Linked DNA regions of Arabidopsis thaliana. The protein of the gene in region 2 interacts with the protein of the main gene of each other region in a biochemical or structural test. Each region holds a gene or a part of one and is shown on either strand. Other genes may lie near its edges.

The links. Proteins that work in one complex are often made in the same cells at the same time.
Region 1: the proteins of AT2G16250 (region 2) and SOBIR1 form a complex in vitro, tested with the Arabidopsis thaliana proteins (one large-scale study listed by BioGRID).

The regions. Positions count from the first base shown.
Region 1 is NC_003071.7:13,552,182-13,559,491, reverse strand, and holds SOBIR1 (Leucine-rich repeat protein kinase family protein), read right to left. Parts: upstream 4,599-7,310; 5' UTR 4,573-4,598; coding exon 2,647-4,572; 3' UTR 2,515-2,646; downstream 1-2,514. Other genes in the region: RAP, read left to right, coding at 1-86, 321-1,953, 2,045-2,127, 2,324-2,392; TEJ (Poly (ADP-ribose) glycohydrolase (PARG)), read left to right, coding at 5,736-5,978, 6,076-6,261, 6,563-6,666, 7,093-7,270. UniProt on the Arabidopsis thaliana protein: Dual specificity kinase acting on both serine/threonine- and tyrosine-containing substrates. Acting as a counterplayer of BIR1, promotes the activation of plant defense and cell death.
Region 2 is NC_003071.7:7,037,715-7,046,704, forward strand, and holds AT2G16250 (Leucine-rich repeat protein kinase family protein), read right to left. Parts: upstream 5,641-8,990; 5' UTR 5,220-5,640; coding exon 3,253-5,219; intron 2,962-3,252; coding exon 2,836-2,961; coding exon of another isoform or gene 2,832-2,835; exon of another isoform or gene 2,708-2,831; coding exon 2,685-2,707; exon of another isoform or gene 2,600-2,684; coding exon 1,968-2,599; downstream 1-1,967. Other genes in the region: AT2G16230 (O-Glycosyl hydrolases family 17 protein), read right to left, coding at 1-78, 259-612; AT2G16270 (uncharacterized protein), read right to left, coding at 8,030-8,113, 8,193-8,990.

The DNA.
Region 1 (7,310 bases), 6.5 Mb from region 2:
AGAAGTATCGATTTGTTGGTCCTCTAGCACAGAGGAGTTCCTTGCATCGCCGTACGGACTCTCTCAAGCACCTTCCTTTTTCCGTGGTTAGTTCTCAGAAATTTCGTTTTTTTTTTTTCCTTTTCATTTCAGAGATACTTGAAATTTTCATATAAGTATGTGAATGAGGAGTTGTTGTGGTTGCTTTTATTGATTTAGTCTTCATTTGTATGTGACTCATGATGTGGAAGGTTTTGGTCCTTTTGGATAAGGTTGCAGAAACAAATTTATCTGTGAATTCTAAGCTTGAGTGTTCACATATTGTCTTGGTGTTGCTTCAGAATGCGTCTGTGATTGGTAACTCGGAGGAAGAAGTGGAAGAAGAGGATGATGATGGGGACTGGGAAGCAGAGTTTCTCGGGGAGATTGATCCGTTGGATATTCAACCTCCGAAGAAGAGGAAAAAGCAGAAGAATTCGAAAGCGCTTGAGGACACTGAAGGGATGGATTGGTGTGTAAGGGCAAGGAAAATTGCACTTAAATCGATTGAGGCAAGAGGGTTATCTTCTAGAATGGCGGAGGTGATGCCATTGAAGAAGAAGAAAAAGAAAAAGAGCAAGAAAGTCATTGTAAAGAAAGACAAGGTCAAAAGTAAAAGTATTCCAGAAGATGATTTTGATACCGAGGACGAAGATTTGGATTTTGAAGATGGATTTGTGGAGGATAAGATGGGGGATCTACGGAAGAGAGTTAGCTCATTAGCTGGTGGAATGTTTGAGGAAAAGAAGGAGAAGATGAAGGAGCAATTAGCTCAGAGGCTATCCCAGTTTTCAGGACCTTCTGATCGTATGAAGGAAATCAACCTGAACAAAGCTATAATAGAAGCACAGACTGCTGAAGAGGTATTGGAAGTAACTGCTGAGACAATCATGGCTGTTGCCAAAGGTTTAAGTCCATCACCTTTGTCTCCTTTAAATATTGCTACTGCACTTCACCGAATTGCCAAGAATATGGAGAAAGTTTCAATGATGAGAACTCGTAGGCTTGCATTTGCTCGGCAAAGAGAGATGTCAATGCTTGTTGCTCTTGCAATGACATGTCTACCAGAATGTTCAGCTCAAGGCATCTCAAATATTTCTTGGGCATTATCCAAAATTGGAGGTGAATTGCTATATTTGACAGAGATGGATAGGGTTGCAGAAGTTGCCACATCAAAGGTGGGTGAGTTCAATTCTCAGAATGTTGCTAATATTGCTGGGGCGTTTGCTTCCATGCGGCATTCTGCTCCAGAACTCTTTGCTGAGTTGTCAAAGAGGGCATCTACTATTATCAATACCTTTAAGGGTCAAGAGATTGCTCAACTATTGTGGTCATTTGCCTCACTTTATGAGCCAGCTGATCCTTTGCTTGAATCTTTGGATAGTGCATTCAAAAGCAGTGACCAGTTCAAGTGTTACTTGACGAAAGAAATAACAAACTCTGATGAAGTAGTGGATGCTGAAGTAAGCGATGATGTTTCAAGATCTCCAGCACTTAGCTTTAACAGGGACCAGCTTGGAAACATAGCATGGTCTTATGCTGTTCTTGGGCAAGTGGAGCGACCTTTCTTTGCCAATATATGGAATACTTTAACCACCTTGGAGGAGCAAAGGCTTTCAGAACAGTATAGGGAAGATGTCATGTTTGCTTCTCAGGTGTATCTTGTGAATCAGTGCTTGAAGCTTGAGTGCCCCCACCTTCAGTTGTCACTTTGTCAAGAACTCGAAGAAAAAATAAGCCGCGCAGGAAAAACCAAAAGATTCAATCAGAAAATAACCTCATCGTTTCAGAAAGAAGTTGGACGCCTTCTTATAAGTACAGGGCTTGATTGGGCTAAAGAACATGATGTGGATGGCTACACCGTGGATGTTGCTCTGGTCGAGAAGAAAGTTGCTTTAGAAATCGACGGGCCAACTCATTTTTCAAGAAACTCTGGTAAGTGACATCACTCTGTTTCTTAATATATATTGGTGTCTGGTGGAGCCAACCCAAACTTAATGATCATTTCGACTCTTGTGTTCTACAGGACTACCATTAGGGCATACAATGCTGAAGCGGCGATATGTTGCTGCTGCTGGATGGAAAGTGGTATCTCTGTCTCTTCAAGAGGTGGGTCTATAACGTTGAAAAATGGAAACTGATATAAAATTGAGTTGCTAGGATAAGAAATTGTCTCCATTTTTAGAATACTTGTTCTGTTCAATAGTAAAAAGATCTCACATGCTCTTGCATAATTGATATGTTTTCCCATCTCAATCAGGAGTACATACTGAACATGTGTTGACTTTGTTTTTATTATTTTTAGTGGGAAGAACATGAAGGCAGTCATGAACAGCTAGAATATTTGAGGGAGATTCTCACCGGCTGCATATAGAGAAGACAAGTAACCAAACATGTAATGTGTTGTCATTTTAAGGTTGTTAATCAAGTGTTCTTTTCCGTTATGTATATAGCTAAGATTCTTATAGTAGATTGATGATTTATGTTTAGAGCAATAATCATAATTGAAATCCATTTAAATTTTACAGTCGCCATTACAAATTTCTGCCAAGATTGTGTTCATAGTTATTTCGTATGCAACAGGAATCTAGGAAATATAGATAGAAGCAAACAATACATATTGAAACACTAGTGCTTGATCTGGGACAACATGGTCCTGACATCTTTACTGTTCGGCCTCTGTTTTGGATCATCCAAAGTACAGTAACAGGCGATCTTCAGAACCAGAAGCATCTGTTCATCGAATCCTTGATCCATCAACTTCGGATCAATCGCAAGGCTAGGATTTTCCGATGTTATTATGTTCCTCATCCACTTTATCAGACTCATCTCGTCAGTATGCTGAAAAAACTCATCTGAAGGAAGCTTCCCAATCACCAGAATCCCAAGAATCACTCCAAAACTATAGATATCACATTTATCTGTGAACTTGTGGGTTTGATAAAACTCTGGTGCTATGTATCCCACAGTACCTGCAACATGCGAGGTTGTAATATGTGTGACTGCATCTGGCATTGCCTTTGCCAGTCCGAAATCTGAAATTCTGGCTTCCATGTCATCATCAAGAAGAACATTGGCTGGCTTTAAGTCTCTGTGAATGATTCGTGGGTTATGATCCATGTGAAGGTACTCAAGCCCTGCAGCTATACCTAAAGCAATCTTGTGCCTCGCTGGCCACATTAGTTCTTGATTTCCAGCTTGTACGTCAGTCAATATATCTTGCAAACTCCCCTTTTCCATGTACTCGTAAACGAGGTAGTGGCACTCGGGTCTTGACACGTGTGCTAACAATGGGAGAAGATTCCGGTGCCGGATATGGCCGACTGTGTTGATCTCGGATCTAATTTGCCTCATTTTCTTGTTCAGAAACTTGGAATCTTCATCTGTTAGTTCATCGGCGTCTTTAGGCGGTTGGATCACTTTCTTCACAGCTATGATCTTCCCATTGCTTCCTGGTAGTTCAGCTTTGAAAACTTCTCCACAACCTCCTCTTCCTATGATCTCCAGAGAAGCTAACGCTTCTTCATTCTCCAAGAAAGCTAAATCTTCAGCTTTCTTGATCAATGGGCTGAATATGGAAGGACCTGGTGGTTTTTCTGATCCTCTTATTGCTTGAATAATCAATTTGAACAACACCGAGAAGACAAACCCAGAGATTGTTCCTCCTATGGCTCCAACGACAAACCCTAAGATCCATGCCGCTACTTTCTTCTTCTTGCTCTTCTTCTTCTTCTTCTTCAACTTCCCTGGTTTTGGAGCTCCCTTTGGAGCTTTTGATGTAGTGCTGTTGTTGGGTTTGTTCGTGGGACTTGAAGTTGGAGTTTCAGCAAGAATGTGTCTTGTTTGATGTGGAGATGTCTGAAGCTTGATACTGCTCATAACCGGAGCCGGACCTTCCAAATACCGGTTTCCGGAGAAATCAAAGAACCGGAGATTGTGGAACGACACAATTTGTTCCGGGATTTTGCCTGAGAAGAGATTGTTTGCAACAGAGAGATTCTCCAGATTGCGTAGATTCTTCAAGAAATTCAAGTTCCCGGATAACTTGTTCGAAGAGAGATCAAGGATTCGAAGACGGCTCAAACTAGAAAAGTTTCCCGGAATCTGACCGGAAAATCTATTTTTCCGAAGATCAAGAACTTCAAGTTGCTTACAGCTTAAGATATCCACCGGAACAGCGTTGACCAACTGGTTATTAGACAAAGTAAGTTCCTTGAGCTCCGACAACATTCCGATGACCGGAGAGATAGTCCCCGTCAAGCTCCTGGATCGGTAGACGAGCCTCGTGACACGGAGAACGTATTCTCCGGTGGTGGCAGAGTGCCGTCTCTCGCAGAAAACTCCTCGGCGACCGCAAGGGTTGACATCACTGGCCGAAGAACGTTGACTGTTGACTCCGAGCTCTGTTTCGATGACCTGAAGAGCTTTGAGATCTGAGGAATCGATATCGAGCCACTCAACAGAGGAGACGAATGAAGAGAGAAGAAGAAAGGAGAGAACGGCGAGGATGAGAGGCCGGAGAAAGAGATTGGCGCTTCCCGTGGGAACAGCCATTTTAATTAGAGAAAGTTTCTTCTTGTGGATGTTGTCGGAGTCTACACTCTGTCTATTTATGGTCAGCAACTGGTACTAATCTATTGAGAAATCTTTACGTGTTTCGTGGTTTTTTTTTTCTTCTAAAACTTTATTTTTGAAGTGACAAAATATATTTGACCCAAAAAAAATAAAGTTACAAAATATATTCACAAGTTAATTTCTTAATATTGTTATACACTTATACATATAATTGGTAAACTTAAATTAACAGTTTGAAAAATTTATGGTTTGTTCAAGGGATCCATCCAAGCCCCGGTTTCATATCGAAAAAATGGGGTTTTCTATTGCTAGTATTTTATTTGATTAGTTTGATATTAATGATAGATTACTGAATTCTTACATAAGATCTCCTAACAAAATTGTATTTTATATTATGATATTTAGTTATCAATGGTTTTGGAGAAACATTGATTCAGCGTATACTTTTTGAATTATTTGTATATTCTTAATAAGAGTTCTGTTTTTAATTAAAGTCTAAAGAAGAAAAAACCATTATAAAAACTGATAATCCTGACCTGTGAAATGGGCTAAATTGTACATTTTTTTTTTGATTTAAATTCTTCCAGGAAGTTTTATGGGAAAATAATAAAGTAGAAAATGTGAATATAGAAAGTTGCAAAACTGTATTATTGATATAGCGAATTTTGTTATTGACTTGACTATGTAAGCGTTGATAAGTCAAAGTCTACGCTGTGGGTTCCATAGTGAGCCACCGTTTCCTACACGTTAGAAAAAAATAAATGTTATGTTACACACACCTTCTATTTTCCAGTCACTTTCTTTTAGCGTTTTCCGTCAATACGTTCGTTGTCTGTATCAAGATTCCAAACTGGTGAGTGTGAAATAACTCGAAACTGGCTTTTAACTTAAAATGAGTTAACCAGATAGCTAACGAGGATGTTATTGCCACTAAACCAATACATTACCGATATGGTTCAAGTTCCAACTTCCCGGTTCTACAAAACCGGTTTGCCTTTCGCCTTCGCACTCTTGACTTTTTTAGATTTTTTACTCCGGGACTTGAGTATCTTCTAGCGGCAGCAGAATCTTGTCGCAGAAGCGATTCGTAAACCTGTTTCAAAAGCAATTGAGAACAGCTGTGAGATTAGAAAAATCGAAAAATGGAGAATCGCGAAGATCTTAACTCAATTCTTCCGTACCTTCCACTTGTAATTCGTTCGTCGTCGCTGTATTGGCCGCCGCGTGTGGTGGAGGCGTTAAAGGCAATGTCTGAAGGACCATCTCACAGCCAAGTTGACTCAGGAGAGGTTCTACGGCAAGCTATTTTCGATATGAGACGATCCTTATCTTTCTCTACTCTCGAGCCATCTGCTTCTAATGGCTACGCATTTCTCTTTGACGAAGTAATTATCTCTTTTTAACTTTATGGTGATTGCTTTTGGATTTGAGTGTATCTTCAAATCGAATTGAGTAGTGGAACTAAGTTTTTGGTACTCGCAGTTGATTGATGAGAAAGAATCAAAGAGATGGTTCGATGAGATTATCCCAGCATTGGCGAGCTTACTTCTACAGTTTCCATCTCTGTTAGAAGTGCATTTCCAAAATGCTGATAATATTGTTAGTGGAATCAAAACCGGTCTTCGTTTGTTAAATTCCCAACAAGCTGGCATTGTTTTCCTCAGCCAGGTATTGATACAAAGTGCTATCTCCTACATTTGAGCTAAAGGTGTTTTTTTGGTTCTATTCCTGACTCTTGAGTAGTGATTTATGGGGAGGAAATTACGTCGAATATACATGTGTTCTTACTGGATGATTACCTTGTGTGTTGAAGATATAGTCTCTATGGATTCTTGCTTTTCTTACTGGATAATGACCTTGTGTTGAATATACATGTGTTCATACTGGATAATGACCTTGTGTTGTTGAAGATATAGTCTCTATGGATTCTTGCTTTTCTTACCTGTCCGTTCGAACTTCAATATTGCAGGAGTTGATTGGAGCTCTTCTTGCATGCTCTTTCTTTTGTTTGTTTCCGGATGATAATAGAGGTGCAAAACACCTTCCAGTCATCAACTTTGATCATTTGTTTGCGTATGTTACCTCTCTGCTTTCTCTTCTAAACCTTTCATAGTGATTAAGCCTACATTAGTCTGGTCTGGAAGAAATGCCTAATGTTAAAATGTCAGTCATTTGGCTTAAGTCATGAATGATCAAGCACGTATGTGAAAGAAAGGGAACCTTTAATATGTAATTTATTGACATTCACACTCGAGAGTGAGAAAGCAAATCCGCTAGAGAGCGCATATGGGCCTCAGTCTCCATTGGGAGTTCACTAGTTAGACTTGGATTAGCTTGTTGTGAGAAAAACCACATATTTCTATGATTCATTGGCTATCATGTGCATGTGAAGATTTTAATTCTGAAAATTCTTGTCTACCGTGCATTGAGTAAGTTTCATTTGGATTCTTGGACTTCGTATGCCCACAGTCTGATATCCGAGTTTTACTTGCTTTTCAGAAGCCTTTATATAAGTTATAGTCAAAGTCAAGAAAGCAAGATAAGATGTATTATGCATTACTTTGAAAGGTTTTGCTCCTGCGTGCCTATTGGTATTGTTTCATTTGAACGCAAGATTACCGCTGCTCCTGATGCTGATTTCTGGAGCAAGTCTGACGTTTCTCTTTGTGCATTTAAGGTGACAAATATTGGCTTGTGGATTTCTGTACCTTGTAATA
Region 2 (8,990 bases):
CGCCTCGAGAGCCTTTTGAACATTTTGCATAGCCGGGAGAAGTTGGTTTACAAGATTCAGATCATTTGACAACAACACCTACATATCAACGATGAGAGGTTTAGAGATTTATTTTGTCAAGCAAGCATACATTTAATTTAAATAACATTTTCCGCGATTAGTTGCCTAATCTGGAGGAAAAGAGTTTACAAAAATAATATCAAGAAAATTAATTTTAGAAAAACTTGTGTGAATAATTTGATAAAGAAAAAGATTCACCTCGTTGCCGACATTGATGAGAATGATGTTGGAGGCAGGATAGAAAGGAAGTACGTTGGAATTTATCCACTGAGAGGCAATGTTGAGATCCGAGGCGATAGACGGGAGATCGCCATTTGCTACTCCGATAACAATACCAATACCGGTTCCAACCAAGGATGTGATGATGGAGGAATCCGCATTGTATAGCCTCACTTTCTGGATGGAGGTAGATTGGAGGAGTTTGGCCGTTTGAGAAGGTGGCGGGAGGTTGTCGGATAGTAAGCCGTAGTTTACTCCGATAAACGACTGTGCATTTGACGGCGAAATAGAGAAGAGAATGAAGAGGAGAAGGAAGAGGATGGAGAGAGCCATGAAGACAGAGGAATGTGGAGGAAGTGAGATTTGAAATGTAAAAGAGTAATAAGTTAGTGTAAGGGTTGGGAGTAATATAGTATAATTAATTGGTTAGTGAACAGAAGTTTATGCAGAATCCCAAAGCTCATAATCACATGTGCTGATTTTACTACAACCCACTTGCTGACTTCTTTGCATGGGTTTCCCCATTGTTTACAGTATTAATCATATTTTTGGAGATTTCTTTCAAATTTTGTTTGGTATGGAATAATCTGTCAAATAGCCAATTAACAACCAACTTATTAAATCAATGAGAATTGGCAAAAATAACCCAAGAAAATAATATTCCGCTGTCCAATTTCTTATAAGATGTTTTAGTTAAATCACATATATTAAGAAACTTATGTTCTTTACAAAATATTATTTATTTATTTAAAACAATTCAACCAATCGTGGCAAATATTGCATATAACAGAAATGATTAGAAAATATGAAAATTTATTTTAAGTTTTAATATAATGGACAAAAATAAAATACATAAGAACATCTTATATATTGGGATATAGTTTAGCTATTTAATCATTCTAAGTTTCTAACCATGATAGATTTGGCAAAAGTAACTCATTAGAATTTCAATTTTTGTTTGTAATGTTGTAATTTTCAAATTAAGTTCAGTGTATGAAATAATTAAATATAATTACAGGTAACTCAGACCAAAAATCCTACAACTTCAACATTTTGGTTCATACGTATATATATTATAAGTTTACGTCTCTAAACATAATGGTTCTATGGTCTAGCGGTTAGGACATTGGACTCTGAATCCAGTAACCCGAGTTCAATTCTCGGTAGAACCTTTATTTTTACTTTTTGTCCCAATATGAATCAAAAGCTTCCCACGTGCGAATGAACTAGTCAACAATATTCACACGTACGAAATCAGATCCAACAAAAGGAAGAAGTATCTTTCCTTTCACTTTTTGTCCAAATACATATCAAAAGCTTGCCACGTGCAAATGAAATAGTCAACAAAATTCACACGTACGAAATCAGATACAAGAATAATAAGTAATGGTGGAACTGAAACAAATGTAACCCAACTTTTTTGTTTTGTTTTGTTTTCTGGTCTTTCAATAAGAAAGAAACCGAAAACAAAACCCAATCTCCAAGAATTTTACAATTTACAAAATCCACGTTTGAACCAAAAAACAAAAACAAAGAGTGAACTAACATTTCTAACTCCCACCAATCCTAAACCCAAAAACAAAACAAAAGAAAGAAAAAACAAATCCTCCTCCCATCTAACATTATGCTACCTTTGAGGACTCTCTTTGCCTCTGTTATTATCGACACAAAAGAATCGATGAAACGAATCATAAATTATCCTCTACTACTCCATAAGCAGCAGGTTCCGGTACAATCTCACTAGATTGCCGTCTTCTCGACGACGATGAATTCCCGTTGTTGTTATTGTTCCTTCCGCTACTTCCTTGCGACCCCGAGTTTCTCAAACCATTACCACCACCACCACCACCACCACCGCTTGTTGTTGCTCCCGCTTGAACAGCTGTTACATCCGACGCACTCTGCCTCCAGCTCCCAAATATAGCAGCGTTCCAAGACCCTCTCGACGAGTTTGTTCTTAACCGGGAAGAGCCTGAACCCGAGTTGGTATCTTCTCTTACTACTTTCAGTGGGTTCTCAAGTGCGTTCACAATGTGTCTCATTAATGGTCTTCTTGTTGGTTTTGGGTTTAGGCATGACTTTGCAATGATAGCCATTGCCCATACTTCTTCTAGAAGGTCTTCGTCCACCATTAATGACGGGTCTAAGATCTTGGTTACTAGTTCTTTCTCGTTTGTGCTGATGTATGGCAAAGCTTCTTCCATGTACTCTTTTGCAAGTGCGTTGTCTGGCGAGCTAATCCCGAGCTTCCCCGTTACTAGCTCAAGTAACACTTTGCCAAAGCAGTAGACATCATACGAACATATTGCATTTGTTACACCTGAAAAGAATAAACCAATCAGATGTCTATCGGTTAATCGGAGATGGTATATCCTGATGAAATTTTTATTCTCCTAAGTGTATACCTGAAGAAGATGGTTCACTCGATCTGCAAGAATAGGAAAAGAAGAGACAGCGAAGCATTAGTAGGTGCCAAGACAACATACAGAGTCATGTTAGGGAATCAAAGTAAAACAGAAAAGGACCAGAGAGTTTGTTAATGTAATAAGCACTTACTGCGGTAATCGAAGTAAACGAGAAATTCTGCTTTGATAAGCATCACCTTGAGCATATGCCTCGCTTAGGCTTCCAAGACGTACCTCAAATTTATCATCAAGAAGTATGCTACTTGCTTGTACATCCCTATTTAACATTGAACACAAACACACACATGAGTTCTCTCGCTTTTCTTCTTATCAGGCAATAGAGCATAGATCAACAAGAAGTAATTTAGGAGCAGGTGATGTCATTGGGCTTCTCCATCTATGAAACTATACACTAACAATTCTTGAATAGATCTTACTAATTATGAACATGAAAGGTTATATGATACTAAAAACAGAATCAACAAAACAACTTCCAATAGTCTTGCTATGTCAATGCTTTAAAAAATATCAAGATTATATTACGAGAAGCTGAGCAGGAGAGTAGTACCTATGAACTAGAGGCGGTGAACACTCATGATGCAAATAAGAGAGTCCCTCAGCTGCACCAAGAGCAATTTTCAACCTTGTTATCCAATCCAAAGACTTCAATCCATCACCTTCGTTTTCGGATTTCCTGAACAAAGAGCTAGCCAAATCACCGTGTCTCATAAACTTGTATACCAAGAACTTTTGGCTCTCATTCTCCAAGCAGTGTCCCAAAAAGGGAACCAGCCTCTGGTGTCCAGCCTTACTAAACAACTCCAGTTCTGATATATAGCCTTCACTTTTACCTTCCCGCACATCGATCTTTTTTATAACAACGGGTATACCATTTTCCAAGAAACCACGAAACAGATTCCCCGAATGACCACGTTTTATCAGATTAGCATCATTGAATTCCTCTGTTGCCTGAAGAAGCTGCTCATAAGAAAATGCATTTCCAAGACGTGACAAATCAAAGGTTTGTGCTCCTTTAGGTGGTTGTTGTGAAGCTTCCCCGGCAGGTTTTGGCCTGTCGTTATTTCCTCTTTGTGCCGCTCTGCGTCTATGGCGCATGCATAGAACCAGAATAATTGGCAAGATAACAAAAAGAAGAATAAAAGCAACTCCACCACCCACTGCTGCCAATATAATTACTGTTCTGCGGCTTATCCCTGAAGAAGCATTTTTCGATGTCGGTTGTGTCAAATTAGGACGTCCGAAATCATCAAAATCTAATCCTCTAGACTTATAGAATGCTGCACATATTGCTGACGGCTTCTGTCTCCTCTCATTTCGAAGGCAATTGCTTGTAACAGACACATTTTCCCCGGTCACATAATCAGGAAGCTTACCTTCGAAATAATTACCAGAGAGGTCCATTATCCTGAACCGTCTAAGAATCGGTGTGAGCTCTCCATAGAATGTGTTCGAAGAGATATCAACCATTTCAGCTATCTGGTCTGAATCATAACTAGAATATGGCAGCAGTCCTGTGAAGTTGTTCTTAGCAATGTCAAGAATCCGCAATTTTGGCAACGACCAGCACACATCAGGTAGACTACCAGAGAAACCATTTTCCCTCAAAACTAAAGTTTGCAGTTGGCTCTCAGCACTAAACAAATCTACTGGTAAAGTACCACTCAAAAGGTTATCGCCAATCGCCATTAGCTGCAACTTACTTAACTTTCTTAGCTCCTGAGGAACTGAACCAGACAATGAATTGATGCTGAGATCAAAGTCAACCAGATTGACAAGATCACCAAGCTCTGAAGGAATCGGAGACGAGAAACTATTGCTTGAAAAGTTCAGATGGATAAGCTTTGATAACGCTCCTAAACCAGGAGGGATAGGTCCAGTAAGGTAATTGGAAGAAACATCAAGAGTCAACAGATTCTTCAGAGAGCTAAAAGATTGAGGAAGAACACCAGTGAATGAGTTCCTAGAGAGATCAAGCTGTGATAGATTCAACAACTGTCCTAAACTGCTAGGAACTAAACTAGTAAGACTGTTCTGAGACAGATTCAAAGTTCTTAAACTAGTGAGATTACCAAGAGTAAAAGGAACAACACCGTTAACAGAACACGAACTAAGATCCAATACTTCCAATGCCAACAAACTAACACCAAACCACTCAGGTATAGTCCCCGGTAACGCTAACCCGGACGCGTTAAAATACGACAAACGAGTTAGATTACGAAGAGGATCAACAGAGAATTGTGGGTTTAGCTTACCAATTCTTGTTCTCCTAAACCCAGAGATATTGATCCCAATGATACTACCATTCTCACATTGTATACCTCTCCAATCAACACAAGGGTCACCTTTAATTGGCCAATCTGTTCCTCTTAACCCTAAAGAAGACCTGAGATTAAGCAAAATGAGTTTCTCACTGAATCGACTCTGTGTTTGACCAACAACAACACAGTCGAAGAACAGTACCAAACACAACAACAACAAGACAAAACCCAATGCGCTTCTTCTTTGATCAACCATTGCTTATCAAACTCAATCCAATGACCCATCAACACTCATCACCCAAACCCAGAGAGAGACAGAGACTATTTTTTTCAGGATTTAAGCAAAATACCCAATTCAACAACCCTAATAAAAATAACGTCTTTCGATCTTTAGAGAGGAAGAAAGAGACAGATATCGAACTGGGTTTGCTCTGTTACTGGATCCAATTACAGCTCCTACCTTCACAGACATTAAAGCACCTCTCTTTCTCTTTCTCTCTCTCTCTCTAAATCCTAATTTATGAGAAGAAAAAGTAGAAATTTTTCACTAATCCTTAAAATCAGACAAAACAAAAAGTGATTTGTTGAGTGAAAAAAATCTTTAGAGAGAGAAAGAAAGAAGAAGAAGAAGAAGATCGAGATTGTTGAGATAACAACTGTAGACTGTGACACTCCTCTCTCTCTCGTCTTTGCAAGAAACTTCGAAATTAATTTATTATTAATTACAAATCTGATTAATTAATAATTTTGAAATTAGATTAAATTAAAACCTAGTGTGGGGTAAAGTGACGTCGTTTTAATGTTTGGTTTGACTTTCCCGGTAATCCCGCCATAAGCCAGCTAAGCTGTTGCCGCAATTACTATTTGGGATTTTTTCTTTCCTTCTTTCCTGTTTTATTATTGTTGTAAATTTAATGTTCGGATATATAAGGAGTAATATATCTCACGTCCTATATTCACCATTCTTGGCCGAATAAAGGAATCTTTTTCTTTTCTTGCTAAAATTTTCTAAATACTCTGAATTTTTTGGTTCGAATGGTAACGGCAATCAGAATAGATAAATTCATCGATAATATAAGTGTGTTTTATTTTCAAGTAGATAATAAATCGTTGTGGATCAATCTTATTTGTATGTAAAAATGGTTTATGATTGGTTTACGGCAGTTTTCTTAGTATATATTATTATAGATTCTAATTTATGATTGGTAAATTAAAAGCGGTTTAATCTGCATAGTATTTGTCCGTCTCAACCGCTGTAATCATTTGCATTTTAAACAATTTATTACAACATATAATCATATACAGTACAATAGAAAATTATCAACTAGAAAAACATGTGAAATGTTGGCAACTTTCTTTCAAAATATTGGATGAAATATTTATCGGTTATAGGATTTTGTAAAGATGTTGAAGTATTCTTTTTAAAAAACAATGATATTGAATTTTCTAGCTTTTTTGATATGATCCAAAAATTTGATATATGTTTAGTTTAAAATTGATAGAAACAAATTCTCTATTGTAGAATGTTCAATTTAAACAATGCCAATCGAATGAAAATATTTAGTTTTTTTATTTAATTTTACTTGAAAAATGAATGATTATGTTAGTTCAAAGTCTCACTATGGTTTATTTAGAAAATAGTGATTAAGTAGACATTAATAGAGATGAATTTTTCTTGAGCTAAAAATTTCTCAAAAGTTTTCTCAAAATATATGAACAAGTGATGTGAAATTTTCTTAAACTGTTTATTAATTTTCATATGCTACAGTTGCGTATATGATTTTATTAATCGTTCCAATTACTGTTATTTCCATAGAAAAGTTTTCTCTAACCTCGAGCTAGTTAAGTCATAATTGAGGATATTTGTTCGGGAAGAAAAAGCAATGAACTATTCATCTTTCGTCGGATAACAAATTTACATCACTACCTAATTTTTGTTACATATCCCGCATCGCTATTAAATAAATCCAACGTGTCCGAAAGTACAAATGTTGTTTGTATCTGTGTTTTCCAGTTCAAGATCATATAACTAACACATGTCCTCTTCGTGAGACCCCACACATACAAAATAAGCCGTCAAATCTAAACCATCGGATCAGAGCAAGATTATTTCGATTCTGGTGACGTGGCACAAATCATGCGTCCAAGAGAGTGTTTTGGTCACAGTTCTAATCATATTTCTGAATGCATGTTAAGCACCGAATCAACGTAACCATGGTTTCGCGCTTCTATATAGAACCGTCGTCGTCATCATCTTCCTCAAATCTTTGGACGTGGCTTATGCAGACAACGAGTATCGATGCTTCGTCGGAGGTTTAGCTTGGGCCACCGATGAACAGTCTATAGAGAGGTGTTTCAACGAGTTTGGTGAAGTTTTCGACTCCAAGGTCCGTTAAAGTGTGACTCTGTTTTTGTGTTGCTCTGTTTCTCTCTTTGTATCATAAAAATCTCGACTTTATATGGTTTATGGATTGGATCAGATCATCATTGATCGTGAGACCGGGAGGTCTAAGGGGTTTAGATTTGTGACTTTTAAAGATGAGGATTCCATGAGGACTGCGATCGATAGAATGAATGGTCAAGAACTTGATGGTCGTAACATTACTGTTAACTAGGCTCAGGCTCGTGGTAGTGGTACTCGCGGTGGTATGGTTGGTGGTTACGGAAGTGGTGGTTACAGAGGTAGACGTGATCAAGGTGGTTACAACCGTGGCGGTGGAGGTGGATACGGTGGTGGTTATGGAGGTGATCGTCGTGAAGGTGGTTATGGAGACGGAGGTTACGGTGGTCAGGGGCGATCTGAAGGAGGAAGCTGGAGAAATTGAGTCTTGTGATGTTTAGTCTCATGCTTTGTTACCAAAAAAAAAAAAAAAGTCTCATGCTTTTGTTTCTTCTTTTACTTTAAACGACTGAGACTGACACAAAGAAACAAACTTTGGATTGAATCACAACTAGTTTGGTACAAATCAGAAGATTTTAAGGAGTCATAAAGCTAATTCTAATTCTTAGGAAACTAAAAAGATTGCATAGTGATGCAATGATTGAAATGAAATGTCTATCTCTTTATCATAGACCAGAACCAGAAGGTTTGTTGTTCTTAATCCGGCTTGAACGTCTCACTGGTGTAATCATCTCCTCTTCTTCTCTACCCTGTGAATATATAAAATGGGTTAGTACTAAAACGATGCAAAACGTGTACTTTACGTGATCATTGATTGATGGTACTCACACTTTTGATGGGTATCTTCTCGTATGTTGTGAAACTTCCGTAAGAAAAAGAGCCAATGGAGTATTCTGATGCTGAAGATGCCATTGATTCTCTCCTCAACTTGCTGCTACTGCTATTGTTGTTATTCTTCTTGCCTCCTTTGCTTTGAGGTTCTTTGTGGCATGAGCTCTTCTTTTGGAAACTGTTACTCATTTTGTCATCAACTTCTTCCTCAAAATTCAGTGAAAAGAGCTTCTCTTTCACCAGATTCTCTTCTGGCACATGACTCAAGTTTAGCTCCATGTTACTCTCAGGGGCTGGTTTAGTAGCAGCCACGAGTTTTGTCTTCTTAGCGAATACGAAAGAAGCCACTGCGAGTAGAACCAGCACCGTGGAGGACAATACTATCATCAACTTGGTGGAATCATTATACGCCTTATTAGAAGACCTTACTTTAAGATGAAGATCATCACTAGTTTCTGCTGCAATTTCTCCAAAACCTTCTTCTGATCCACTTTCAGCATCACCTTTGGCTAAATCATTATAAGACCCTACTTCAAGATGAAGAAGATCACCAATTTCTCCAAAACTTTCTTCTGATCCACTTTCAGCAACAAGTATCTCACTCTCTATGTGCTGGTGCACATTGATGGCAGCGAATTCAACATCAGGCTGGTTTATGTAGATAGCTTCAGATTCAGTTTCTTCCAACTTCTTTTCGGTTTCGAGCTTTTCTTCAGGACTCATCTCAGACTCTCTCAGTTCTTCAATGTTCAACTCTAAGCCATCTTCAAAAAGAGCTTTCAAGTTTCTTTCACC